Linked DNA regions of Drosophila melanogaster. The gene in region 1 interacts genetically with each later gene. Each region holds a gene or a part of one and is shown on either strand. Other genes may lie near its edges.

What was found.
Region 2: of Smox (region 1) and myo, changing one suppresses a phenotype caused by changing the other (phenotypic suppression), as found in Drosophila melanogaster (2 studies listed by BioGRID).
Region 3: of Smox (region 1) and CG13083, changing one suppresses a phenotype caused by changing the other (phenotypic suppression), as found in Drosophila melanogaster (one study listed by BioGRID).

What each region holds. Positions count from the first base shown.
Region 1 is NC_004354.4:8,140,302-8,144,766, reverse strand, and holds the start of Smox (smad on X), read left to right. Parts: upstream 1-2,487; 5' UTR 2,488-3,131; intron 3,132-3,849; 5' UTR 3,850-4,084; coding exon 4,085-4,465. Other genes in the region: alpha-PheRS (Phenylalanyl-tRNA synthetase, alpha-subunit), read left to right, coding at 1-768; CG17982 (uncharacterized protein), read left to right, coding at 1,246-2,151.
Region 2 is NC_004353.4:693,657-698,121, reverse strand, and holds the start of myo (myoglianin), read left to right. Parts: upstream 1-2,066; 5' UTR 2,067-2,425; exon of another isoform or gene 2,426-2,784; 5' UTR 2,785-2,908; intron 2,909-3,705; 5' UTR 3,706-3,732; coding exon 3,733-4,465.
Region 3 is NT_033779.5:19,485,250-19,489,470, reverse strand, and holds CG13083 (uncharacterized protein), read right to left. Parts: upstream 1,982-4,221; 5' UTR 1,948-1,981; coding exon 1,094-1,947; intron 1,037-1,093; coding exon 940-1,036; 3' UTR 780-939; downstream 1-779. Other genes in the region: CG10194 (uncharacterized protein), read left to right, coding at 1-171, 259-663; CG13084 (uncharacterized protein), read right to left, coding at 3,075-3,514, 3,574-4,221.

The DNA.
Region 1 (4,465 bases):
GAGATGCCTACGAACAACTATGTGGAATCGTCATTCTGGAACTTCGATGCGCTCTATCAGCCGCAACAGCATCCAGCTCGCGATGCCCACGACACCTTCTTCGTGAATCATCCGGCCAAAAGCCACAAGTTTCCGCAGGACTATCTGGAGCGCGTGAAGAAGGTGCACTCTGTGGGTGGCTATGGATCGAAGGGTTACGGCTACGACTGGAAGCTGGAGGAGGCGCAGAAGAATCTACTGCGCACGCATACGACGGCCGTGAGTGCGAGGATGCTGTACAAGCTGGCCAACCAGGAGGGCGGCTTCAAAGCAGCCAAGTACTTCAGCATCGACAAGGTGTTCCGCAACGAAACACTGGACGCCACACATCTGGCGGAGTTCCATCAGGTGGAGGGCGTGATTGCAGATGTTGGTCTGACGCTGGGCGATCTCATTGGCACGCTGTACGAGTTCTTCAGAAAGCTGGGCATCACGCAGCTTGAATTCAAGCCGGCGTACAATCCGTACACCGAGCCCAGCATGGAGATCTTCTGCTATCACCCCGGCCTGGCCAAGTGGATCGAGGTGGGCAACTCGGGCGTCTTCCGGCCGGAGATGCTGCTGCCCATGGGACTGCCGGAGAACGTGAATGTAATCGCCTGGGGTCTGTCGCTGGAGCGACCCACCATGATCAAGTACGGCATCAACAACATTCGCGATTTGGTCGGACCCAAAGTGGATCTAAAGATGGTGGAGGAGGGCCCCATCTGCCGGCTGGATCATGCTTAATACCTTAAAAAATCAATAGGACCTGCGATCAAATTGCATTTTTTTTCACACATGAATGTTCCAAAACATATTTATAAATAAAAGTTCCGCCACAGAAACTGGGTCTATATTGATAAGGGAAATATAACATTTGGCGAACCATTTTTGTATTTTCCCTCCAAACAGCTGTTGTTCAGGGTTGTCAAGTGCAGCCGATTTATGCTATCTGCATTTTAGGTTATTGTTTGAGGGAAGCATATCGGGTTTATAAAATTCGGAAAATTTTTAAAGAAACTGCTTAGAGTGAGAATCCTAAAATATGTGAGAATAATAAAAACATGTTTGACAATCAGTCAATCAGTTGAAACTATTTGACAACTTTGCCACAAAACAACGTCAAACGAGCGAAGAAAACAACAAAGGAGAGACGCAAAAAAGAAGAAAGAAAAAAAAAAATAAACAAATTCGTCATCGTCGCTGGAGTTTGGGCCTTGAAAAATGGCAAGCAATCCGAAGAAGTCCCTCCACCAGGCGATCCAGGCCGAGTTTGGTCTCCAGCCCACCAGCGATTTGTCCAAATTGAGCAGTATAAGTGGCACGAGCCCAGAAGCGATGCCAAAATTCACAATTCCGCAGCTCAAAATTCCACAGCTTAGAATTCCACAATTGCAGCTGCAGACGAATGCGGATGCCGCTGCCGAGCAGGAATACCGCCGAGAGGCGGAGGCACACAATCAAATGCTACTCAATGAGATCCAGTTGAGGCAACGGCAGCGATCGGAGGGCGAAAACAAGCCGCAATCAATGGGATTTGTGTTACCCCAACTGGTCGCGATGCCCAAGGAGCCCCTGAACATACCCCTGCTGACAAGGTTGGAGAGCGGCATGAAGAAGCTGGATATAGGCGATGGGACAAAGGTGAATACAGCCACGTCAGCACCCCCACTCATTGACCTCACGTCCACGATTATCGCCAGGCATAAAGGCGCACCGCCCAAGGAGCTGGCCAGCAAGGCGCGCCAGTTGACCAATTGTGAGCCTTTTGCCATACCCTTCATTGCCTGCGATCGCGGAAGAAGGAGCACGACCGGTGTAACTCTCTTGGCCAGCAAAAGATCCATCAACTACGACGAGGACGTGCTGGCCGATCGGTCACCAGCGAATAGCGACTACCGGGAGCAACCGGGACCCATTGGGCTCATGCTGGACGAAATGGTGGGCTATCCGGAGCCGAGAAAGCCCCGTCTAGTGTACGCCGTCACTCCGCTGGAACGGCAGCACCTGCGAATGTGCCAGTATAAGGATTACGGCATCCAGGTGAAGAGATTCCGCTTTGATACTCCCTCGCCGGATGAGCTCGTCAAGCAGGCGCTGCAGAAGTCCTGGCGCTTCTCCCGCACTTGACTCCAGTTCATCCTGGTAGTTGACAATTACCAATAAGTGAATAAAAACAAAAAATCCACTACGTTCAAAAATAAAAGCTGTCTGACTTGATTCTTGCAGGGAGTTGATATCACCCATCGATTTAGTAACTAATTAGTTGGCCATCCAATCCCATTCTTTTGTGGCGCAAATATATTTGCGAACAAGTATATTTATGATTTTAGTATTAAAATATGTAACAATATTTATGTTGTTTATATGAATTTATCAAAACGATCATTAGAATGTTTTCACGCCTTATTTTATTTTGAGCCGTGGCGTCGAAGCTTATTCGCGTTTCAGCCAACGGTCACACTACACAGTCGGTCACACTATTGTTGGGCAGCAAGTCTGGGCACACTGCAACTTTGCGAATAGCAAAATCGCGAAACGCAAAAAATTATATTACTCCCATAAAGCACAATTCGAACGTAAAGTGAACTACTAACGTATAGAAAATAAACACAAAGAGCATAACATAAGAACAAACAACAAGGAGGCGTTTAAATATTTATCAAAATAAGTTCTCTGTTCTTGTTGTGCCTCTGTGTGTTTGTGTCTGTGCGCTCGTTTAACTGTGTGTGTGCTCCTTGCGTGTCGGTGTGCGGTGCCTGTGCTTTGGTGTGCGTGTGCGTATAGCTGTCACTTTCTGGCGCGCACACAAGATATATACACACAGAAATTTGAAGAAGCGGTGCCCACCACACGGCCCCCTCCCCGTTCCAGACAACCATCAACGCCACCAGCACCACCACCACCACCCCCTCCTGTTGGCGCGGCTCGGCTCGGCTCGGCTGGATGTGTGCGCCCGGTTCCGGTGCCTTTTGGTTACCGTTCCCGTGCATCTGGACCTGGAAGCAGTGTGTGCGTGCGAGTGAGCGGGCACGATAGAAGTTGAAAGAGCAGGCGAAAGGAGCAAGAGCAGGACGACAGAGGAGCTCGAGTTGCCGGTACCGTTACAGGTAATATTTATATGTGCGAGACACTCGGCGCAAGTGTGTGTGTGTTAGGTGGGGGTTGAAGATACGGATACAGATACATGGATACATTCCAAAGCGGCTGTATGTGCACTTTTCGCTGTTTCCCCAATGCACATTTAATTACTTATTTATTTTTGCGTTTAACTCGATCGTACCCCTCTTGCCGGCGACGCTCATGTTTTTTGTTGTTGTTATTTTCGGTAATTTATTGCCCCGCCTTCGATAAGATGGAAAATTCCAAACTGCCCACAGATTAGGCGTGTGTACATACATACAGAAATATACACACATTCTGGTTCTGTTTCTGTTTTCTGTGGCTGCTGTAACTCAACGAAAGCAAAAAAAAAGCGTCTGCAAACGCAGACATTTGACCTTGTTGGAGACAATAACAACAAGAATAGCAATAACAACGGTAGTGAAAATAGCAAGAACAGCAACAACCCACGCAGACGATTGCATTTGCGATTGTCGTTTTGGAAATGGAAAATCTAAATTGAATCTTTCTTTAGAAATCTGAATGTGAATCTAAGGCAAAAGTTAATAGATTACCCATATACACACGCTCGGGCAATTATCACAATAACATCGTCATCAGGGTCGAGCTTTTATCAGATCCAGCCGCTCACGCACACACATGCAAGCCAATTATCAGGTTTTAATTGCCAAAGCACGCACAACTAAACCCATTCCACTATTCCAGATCAGAAGTGCACAAGGGAAGCAGCAGCAGCATTAGGACTGTTCCAGTTCCACTTCCCAGTCCCGTTCCAGTATTCCAGAGAAGGTGATCGAAATAAAACTAAAACTAAAACTCGACCAACGCCAGCAGTGAGAGCAGTATTCAAAAGGCAACGCAGAGTTGGAGGAGGAGGAGCTAGTGGACGCGGAGGACACCAGGAAAGCCCAGGAGAACTCCCCCCCCCTGAGACCCTGAGATGTTGCCATTCACCCCGCAGGTGGTCAAGCGTTTGTTAGCACTCAAAAAGGGCAACGAGGACAACAGCGTCGAGGGCAAGTGGTCAGAGAAGGCCGTCAAGAATCTGGTCAAGAAGATCAAGAAGAATTCGCAGCTGGAGGAGCTAGAGCGCGCGATCTCCACACAGAACTGCCAGACGCGGTGCGTGACGGTGCCGCGCAGCAAGCCAGCTCCCGCCGGCGAGCATCTGCGCAAGGGTCTGCCGCACGTCATCTATTGCCGCCTGTGGCGCTGGCCCGATCTCCAGAGTCAGAATGAACTAAAGCCCCTCGATCATTGCGAGTACGCCTTCCATTTGCGCAAGGAGGAGATCTGCATAAATCCGTACCACTACAAAAAA
Region 2 (4,465 bases), on another chromosome or scaffold:
TATTAGAGTTTCTCTTCTAATATTTTAAATTAAATTTCTGACCTTTTAAATGACCGTCGTCACTTTTTGGTTAAACCAATTCGAAATTAATTACGGTCAAAAGCCTTATTAAAAAACTTTCGGATCATAATTATTTCGACTAATATATGTACTACCTGCAATAATAAGAGGGCTTTTGGGAAAAATTCACACAGATGGGTTTAGTTAGTAGGGAATAATATTTACAAAATATACATACATATTTATATTACGAATGGTCGCACATGTATCCTGATTCTTTTATTAGATATTGATTGTCACACATTTTCTTCGATTTTCGGATGGGGGAAAAACAGTATGTGATTAAACACTAAAACGAACGTTCGTACAATATTGTTTATGCAATATTGTTTATATTTTCTGTGTATTTTGGTATTTTGTAGTATCGATTGGACTTCAGCACGCATCTGCTCGTATCAGGATGGCAACTCTCGGCGTGTAAAAATACAAACGGCAACTCTTAACATATATAGAAATCGATATGGCAACCCAATACCAGTGATTGCGTAGAGAATACGTTATTTTCAAAAATTCGATGCAGTAAATAAATAAATTCACAGATATAAGAATGATAATTTAGCAGACCTAAAGAATCGGTCCATTAATGAGCTATTAATAGTTCAACTAATCTACTCGTTGAAAATGTTGTGAAAAATATTTGAAAGCCAACTAAAGCGTTTCCTATTGTTAAACCATTGCAGAGCGTATAGTGATTTCTGTCAGAAAATTGCAACGTAGTGGAAATAATAGAAAAAAAATTATAAATTCTTGTTTTTGATCAGGAAGTATTTTAGTTCTGTATTTATCGGTTGAATGCGTGATCGCCATTTTCGTAATATTAGGTTTATCGCACGATTACCATCTATATGTGCGTAGATGAAGGAAAATTGACGCACTTGTTGAAATTATTTTATTTAAATCTTTATTATAACCAAAAAAAAATCGTAAATTGTTAACCACAATGGAAAAAATAAGTAGCTTACAATCCATCCAATAAATAATCTCTTATCAGTTACTTTGTTGATACATAAAAGAAGTCTTCTCCATTTGAATTGCTATTCTTAAGTAAAACAACAGAATTGCTGATACAAAGCAATAAAAATAAGTTAGTACAGTGTGAACACCTATCGTTTTCTTCCATATCGATAGGAAACTCATAAATGTATGTGTGGAAAGGCTTAAACATCTGTACGGGCGTCGATATATCGACAGCTAATCTGGAAAACACTAGACATCGCGGTAATTGTCCCTACCCTTTTTATGGAGTTCCCAGATTGCCTTCTTACACAACCATATTAATGGGCAATAATTATATAAGAAGACTGCGGAACAAAGGGGACCCGCACGAATATGTACTTGATTTAATATAAGTTTCTTTTATACACATAAAATTATTTTTGCATACTTATGTAAGTGCGTTGGGTACTTTTTATTAATTCCAGAGTAACGACATTTTTGCCGTTAATTTAAAACACGAAATGTTAGGACAAGAATGCGGAACTTCGGTTAAATTTTAAAAATTCCTTTGTATCAATATAGTCATTCCAGTAGTACAAATTAATACGCATGTAATTTTTGTTGTATAATAGCACTCAATTTTGTGTAATAAAAAAAAACAACTAGGGAACCAAAATTATAGAGACAAATCAAATCCTGCTAATAAAAATATATCTTATATAGTTTCTTCGGGTCTATTTGAAATCTTTGAAATGTAAAAATGTCTACACTCATAACTTATAAGAGTTAAAACGGCTTAAGGATTAAATTGATTTACAATAGAAAGTGATTATTAGCGACAGTGGAAATATAAATAAAATGTTTTCTAGAATTGTAAAAAAAAAAGTAGGAGTATATTCAATAAATATTTCATTTTAATATAATGCTATTTTGCTCGATAAAAATGTTAATATGAATTAAAGTTTACTCTTGCAATGCGTTTCAGCAGATACATTTTTAAAAGCGGCCTGTTATGCCAACTAAAACGAAATTGCCGGTGAGCCGTATGTATCCGATCGCATCTGATCAGCTGCTTTCAGTTCTACTTCGTCGCTCAATCGCACAGCAGTACAGAATCTCTGCGGGTTTTCAAATATTGGTTCTCTATGAGAAATAAATTATTATTATTTAGTGCGCAATTGAATACACAATTTTTTCAAACTATGTGTTTTTGGACAATGAATAATAAATTTAACAAAAGCGGATTGCAAAAGAATAATGTTCGAAACCGTAGGCCCACTGTTACTTCAATATAAAACATTTAATAATATATACTATACATATATTAAAACACACAATTGCCTAGTTTCAAAATAGATTTTGGTTGTACAAGTGTATAAAAATAAAATAAATACCGATAGATAAGTATATATCTACTTATGTACAATTGGTAGGTGTTTAAAAAGTTTGTTATCGCTAAATGTACATAACTTTGTACATACACAGCTTTAAAAATGTACATATGTGCTTATATGCATGCTATTTATTCTGTATGTATGTATAATTTACGTATGTACATACATATGATATATCTCATTTACGTTGTTCTGCTTGTAAAAGGGGAATAATGCACTTTCAGCGATGAACTGAAGTTCAAGAGCACAATAATTTATTATGTTTATAAATGGTTTTAATTGAATACAATAGTGGTCATAAAGAGGACTCATGTGAAACGTTTATGAACGGGCTTTGCATATGTGCATGTACATATGTAGCTTGAACTAACTTTTACGACTGTGTGCACATTAGGGTGGTCATTTTCTGCTGGCGCATCGCGCTTCCAAGGCGGATCAAACAATGCAGATATGATTTTTAATTTTTAAAAATCATTATATCCGGTGCTGCAGGATTTTATACTTCTACTATATTCAAAGTAAGTTTTTTCGTAGCCTGAAACAAGTTTTTGAAGGTTATTATTCCGTTATTCCGAGTTTTAGAATATTCACGAGCACACAAATCAAGTGACGATCGCAGCCTCACCGTGCCGATTTGTGACGAAAAATGGTTTTACAATTGTCAGTGTTTTTTCCTAAGCTTTATAGCCATAGAGCCATTTTTCCCTATGGCAGGTATATAAGTGTATGGTCGTCTGATTTTGATCGATTAAAAACCTAAATTATATATTTTCAAAAAAATGTGCATACTGAAGAAGAACTCTTTTTATTTGAAAACAACGAGTCTATAATTTTTTTCAACAGTTAGCTATATGATATGATCGTCAAAAGTCTATCAATTTAAAACCGAAATATTATATTGTCCAAATTTTGCCAATAATTTTAATATTTTTGAAGTTAGAGATCGTCAGTGGCGTAAGCTATTCAATTTTTTTTTTTTTTTTTTTTTGTATTGACTCGCGAAGGGGAATCATTGACTTCCGTGCTAATGCTTTAATAGGGTTTAAAGGGGTGCGCTCTTCTTTTTTCTCTGCACAGCTGTTTAAGGTATTACCTTGGGAATCCGACTTAATCGAATACAGCAGGGGATTATCTAACAGCTTGTATTTCGCGATTTGATTTTTAAAAAAATTGTAAAATAAGGCCAACAAGAGCCAAGTTGATTGGATGACAAGATCACCAGCCGCTGTCTCCAAAAATAAATAATAATTATTATTTTTATTTTTTCTTATTTTAAAATATATCAAGTATATTTATAAATACAAGTCCTTTTCAGCATTCATCAACGGTTTGATCAAAAATCATGCTGGCCAACTCATGCTGCGGTTGGAGAAAATATAAAACCCATGATCAGCATCATAGAACCCTAAAGAAAAAAACTCGACAGAACACATCAGATACAACAGTTCACATAGAAGTGAACTCCAACGAAATCCAGTTTCCAGGTTCTTACAGATTTAATCTTGACTCAAAAAAAATAAATATCGGGCGAATGAATATTCTTGGACATAAGAGAGGTAATTTCCGTGTAACTCGATATGTCACGGTCACCGTACTCTTAATTTTATCGACTGCAGTCAATGCTTATGCTCAGCCAGAAAATAAAAGCTTCAGTAATTCTTCCAACAACGATAGTCCGGAAATGGTTATGTTGAGTAACGAAACAAACAATAGTGCAAAAGTACTATCAGAAAAAAATGGTTCTTCTTCAATATCGGCGGATGATAAAATAAATGAAAATATGGGAATATTCCAAATGAAAGTACAAAGTAAACCGGGGAAAAAAAGTACCCCTTTAGCAAAGGTATCAGAGCATGGAGATTTATCAAGAGTTCAAAGTGTATCTTTGTATCGCAATACCTTAATAAATATAGAAAGTATGCTACAGCGTCAGTTGCGTGAGAAAGCCAAAGTGGATAGTATAGAATCGATTAAAATGCACATACTTATGCGCTTGAATTTAAAAAAACTTCCCAATATAACAAAACCAATTTCAGTACCACAAAATATAATAGATAACTTTTATAGAGATTATA
Region 3 (4,221 bases), on another chromosome or scaffold:
GAGCTCTGCAAGCAGCTGGATGTGCTTCCAGATGTCTGGTCACTTCACGAGTGGTCTGTCTGGCGCACGCCGTCCACGTTTAAGAAGCGCTTCGAGACGGCCTTCTTTATGACTGCCCTGGAACAGGAACCCAGGGTTCACATCGAACCTAATGAGGTCAAGGATTCTGCGGTAGGTGGGTGGGATATTATACGGCACAAGAGCGATACGCGAAACCTTTAAGTTGCATTTAATGTACTATCATTTATATTATTGTAGTGGCGTTCCCCATTGGACTACCTTCAAGCGAGCCTAAGAAAAGAACTCTGGCTGCCGCCTCCACAATTCTATGAACTTTCGCGCTGCCTAAACTTCTCCTCTTTAGATAACCTGCGTCAGTTTGCAGCAGAGCGTGAGGTCAAAGGCATTCAGCTGATTCATCCTGTAGTGCACAAGTGTACAAATGGATTAGTGCATCTCTTGCCAGGAGATGATGCTTACCCCGCCGATCCGGATGCAAGTAACGAAAAAATTGAGATCGATTTGTCAGTCGAGGAATTCCGTTCGAAGACGAATGCTAAATTACATCGATCGGAGCACTGGAACCAGCATCAGTCGCAGCTGATAATTAAGTTTGAGCGGGATGATGGTCAGGTTCATCCATTGGATCCAACAAAATTATAGAGGTAGAGCCGGTTTCCTCTATGTCAGGTGCATTTATCTAGTTTTATAAGTTTTCCAACAATTGATATATAAAGTTGGACATAACACTTTTTAGCAATATACAACTTATAAAGTTCGATTTCCTCCATTTACTCTTGTTTATTACATTGTGTTACAGAACGGTTTAATATACAATTATATAAGATAGATAGAATCGACATGCTGGGATTTGATATAGGAAATCAAGCAATTTCTGAATATGGCATAAAACATCTATCTTCAGTTTTCGTATTAATGCTACTGGCCCTTTCCATACCAAAGTTTGTATAGGTATTCAGCCTCTTCTTGGGATGCATAGACGTTCTCGTATCCTTGATTGCCCTCTGGTTTTGGCCTTAAAATGAAAAGAGTGGTTTTAGTGTGCACCCAGAAGTAGGGCATACAAACTTACTTGTAAATTGGTGCGTGTTCCGGGTGAGTCCAGATCTCGTGGGGCTTCTGGTGTGACGGATTTTTGTGCTTGCAGCCATCCAGCGTCCTTTCAATGTTCTTCTGATTGTTCAGTAGGGCAGCCAGTTTATGATCGACCTGTGAGGTGGCCACCTGCACTCCATGGACAGTGTGCTCGATGCTGTTGAGGCTCTCGGACTGAGTGCGGTTGAGAATGACCAGACCCCACTCCAATTGATTGACTTTGCGATTGGCACGATCTGCCAGAGCCTTAAGTTCGCCCAGATATCCCACTTGACCCACGATGTTGCGCTGCTGCTCCTGGAGGACCTTCGCTTTATTGTCCAAGCCGATGAGTTCCCCTATGACGGCCTGTGATAGCAGCTGCTGAATCTCCGACAGATGCGAGTTGACGGATGAGGCCACTTCATTTAGGTTCTGCTCGTATTTGTTCTGATTGGCAGCCACTTGTTCCAGGGCTTTCCTGATTTCTAGCTCCACTTTGGTAAGATTCCTAATAGAGTTTTCATTCTGACCCTGGATTGCGTTAACAATGGCTGTCAAATTTCCCACTCCAGAGGCCGTGGCTTGGAAGCTGCTTTGAACGTTCGATTCCAGCTTGGCTATGGCAACCTCCAATCCAGCAATGAGTTCGATCTCGTCGCGCTGATGCTTGAACTTCTCTTCAATGCCCTTCTGCACGTCCTTCACTTTCTGCAGCCCATGGTTTAGCTCCTCCGTACCTTTGATCAGCTCCTCCACCTCACTGCGGATCTCATGGATGGAGTCCAGATCCTCAGCTGCAGCCGCGCATAGGTAAATGCATATCGTTAGCAAAGTCAGTCGCACTCTCATGGTGTTTCTCTGATGGCCGCTCCCCGCTGAGTGTCTCTTTTCGATCCGAACCGCAACTTAAGTAGCCCAACTTAAGGTCCAAAACGTGTCTTAGACTGGGTTAAGTTCTATCAGTTCGGTCACCACCCACTTCTCTTCAGCGGGTGCAGGTGCAAATGCTGCTCCAATCTGTAATAGTGTGTTTACGAGAATTTCCCTACTACTAAGAAGATAGTCGCGAACAACTGTTTTATCATCTTGTAAAAAGAAAGAACTAAAGCGAATTATGTTGCATGTAGTCGTACTAAATAGTTATTGGTTCATCGACATCTTGGTAAAGTTAGGGAAAATCCGTGTAGTGTCACGTTTCAAAATTCTTCTTTGTTTCTAAACAGAACAGATTGACCCGGTTTTTTGTGTGCTACGGTAGTAATAACACCACTGAAAAACGTGCCCCAGCTGCTTCTTGTTCAAATTCATTCAGAAAATAGGTCTTCGAAGGTAATGATAACGTAACAAATGTTTTCGGGCATACTGTCTATCGTTTACAAGAAATAAAGTAATAAAGCGAACTAAAGTAATTTTGTAAAAGTTTAATAAGTCTATATTTTGTTTCCTATTTCGAAAACAGCAGTATAATTAATTATCCTTCATATTATCATGCCTATTCAAAAATTGGCCAAGATGCCTTTTGCAAATTTAAACAAACTTGGATCCTTTACTATTAACTTTTAAAAAAGCTTAAAATATTTTTAAAATTTGCTTCTATCAACAAACAATAGCATAGGTTAATAGTAAGGTGAATTTATTTACCTACAAAACATACAAAATAACAAAAATTTCTTCGTATATTTTGAATAGATTTTGAGAAAAGTTTTTGGAAATTGAATGTATATTTTCGCATACGATGCTAAAAGTTGATGCATATGATTTCCATGAAACTATAGCATTTTTTCTCAAAAGTTATTTATTAATTACTTGCTAGGAATATAATCAAAAATGTATTTCCTTTGCTTTTTTTTTATTTATTTATAAAACATAAAAATTGTACAAAGTAATGAATCTGAATTAAAAAAAAAGAGTTTGTTAAATGCTTTGAAAAGTTGTATCAGTTTCAGTAACAGTGGTAGTCCCAGTTAAATCTTCCTTTAGTATCCTTGGGGGAGGGAACTGTCTCCATACCAAATCCTGAAGGATTCTCCTGGCTGGATGGGCTGTGGCTTGTAGATCTCCTCATTGTAAGACTGTGGCTCGTGGTGGGGCTTATGAGGTTGCTCGTGGTTAGGTTTGGGACTGTAATCCACAGGAAGCTTGTAGGATTCAGGCTGGTCATGTGGCAAAGGAACATAGGATGCCGGAGTAGGGTGCTCTTTCTTGGGGCACGGCTTGGGCTTGGTAACGGAGGTGGGAACGTGGGCCGGAGCTGGGTTCCATGGCTGATGGTGGTGAACTGGAGCGGACTGGTATGGGGATCCGTACTCCCACGGCACCGTCTGCCGCCAGGACACGGCGCTGGAGCTCTGATAGTTCTTCTTTGGCTCGGGGGACTGGGCATAGGCGGTAGCTTTGTGGTTTCCAGAGTGCTCTCCTATGAACGACAAGCCATTAATTTGTGATCCTAATCTGGTGGCAATAAGGACCACTTACCGTGCTTGGGCTCCTCCTTGATGCTCCACACCTGTTCCAGATCCACTTGCTTGGGCTTAGGATGAGCATGCTGCGGCTCTGGGACCTCAGCTCCGTAGGTGGGAAGATAGGACTCGTCGTGATGGCCATATTGCGGATAGGGCTGTTGTCGGCTGCACTCTTCCAGACCCAGTTCGATGCGTTTCTGCGAGATGATCAGTTCGCGGAGAACAGCCTCCACTTTCCAGGAACTGTGGGGCTGCAAATGCTTGACTGCATCGATTAGGATGTCCAAGCGCTGCTCCTGAGTGCGATTCAGCTGCTTCAATTGATGCTCCAGCACGTTCAGCTTGAAGTTGGAGTTCTCGCTGAGCTCCTTGACTCCGGCCAAGTTCTTCAGCTCCACCTCCACGTTGATTTGGGACGTCTCCAAGCTATCGAAGGTACACTTTAGCCCATTCAATTGTGGCAACACCGTCCTAGTAATAAGTTTGGCCAGTCCGTCGATGCTGTTGTCAATGTTGCGGGAACTATGGAGCACGTGCCTCTGATAGGCATCCAGCTTGGCCTCCAGGACATTGAGTATCTCCTTGGTGCCCTCCTGCAGACGCACCAATTCCAGGAGCTCTGACTCCGTTCGATTGCCGTATTCCTCGCCCTGCCTAGAGA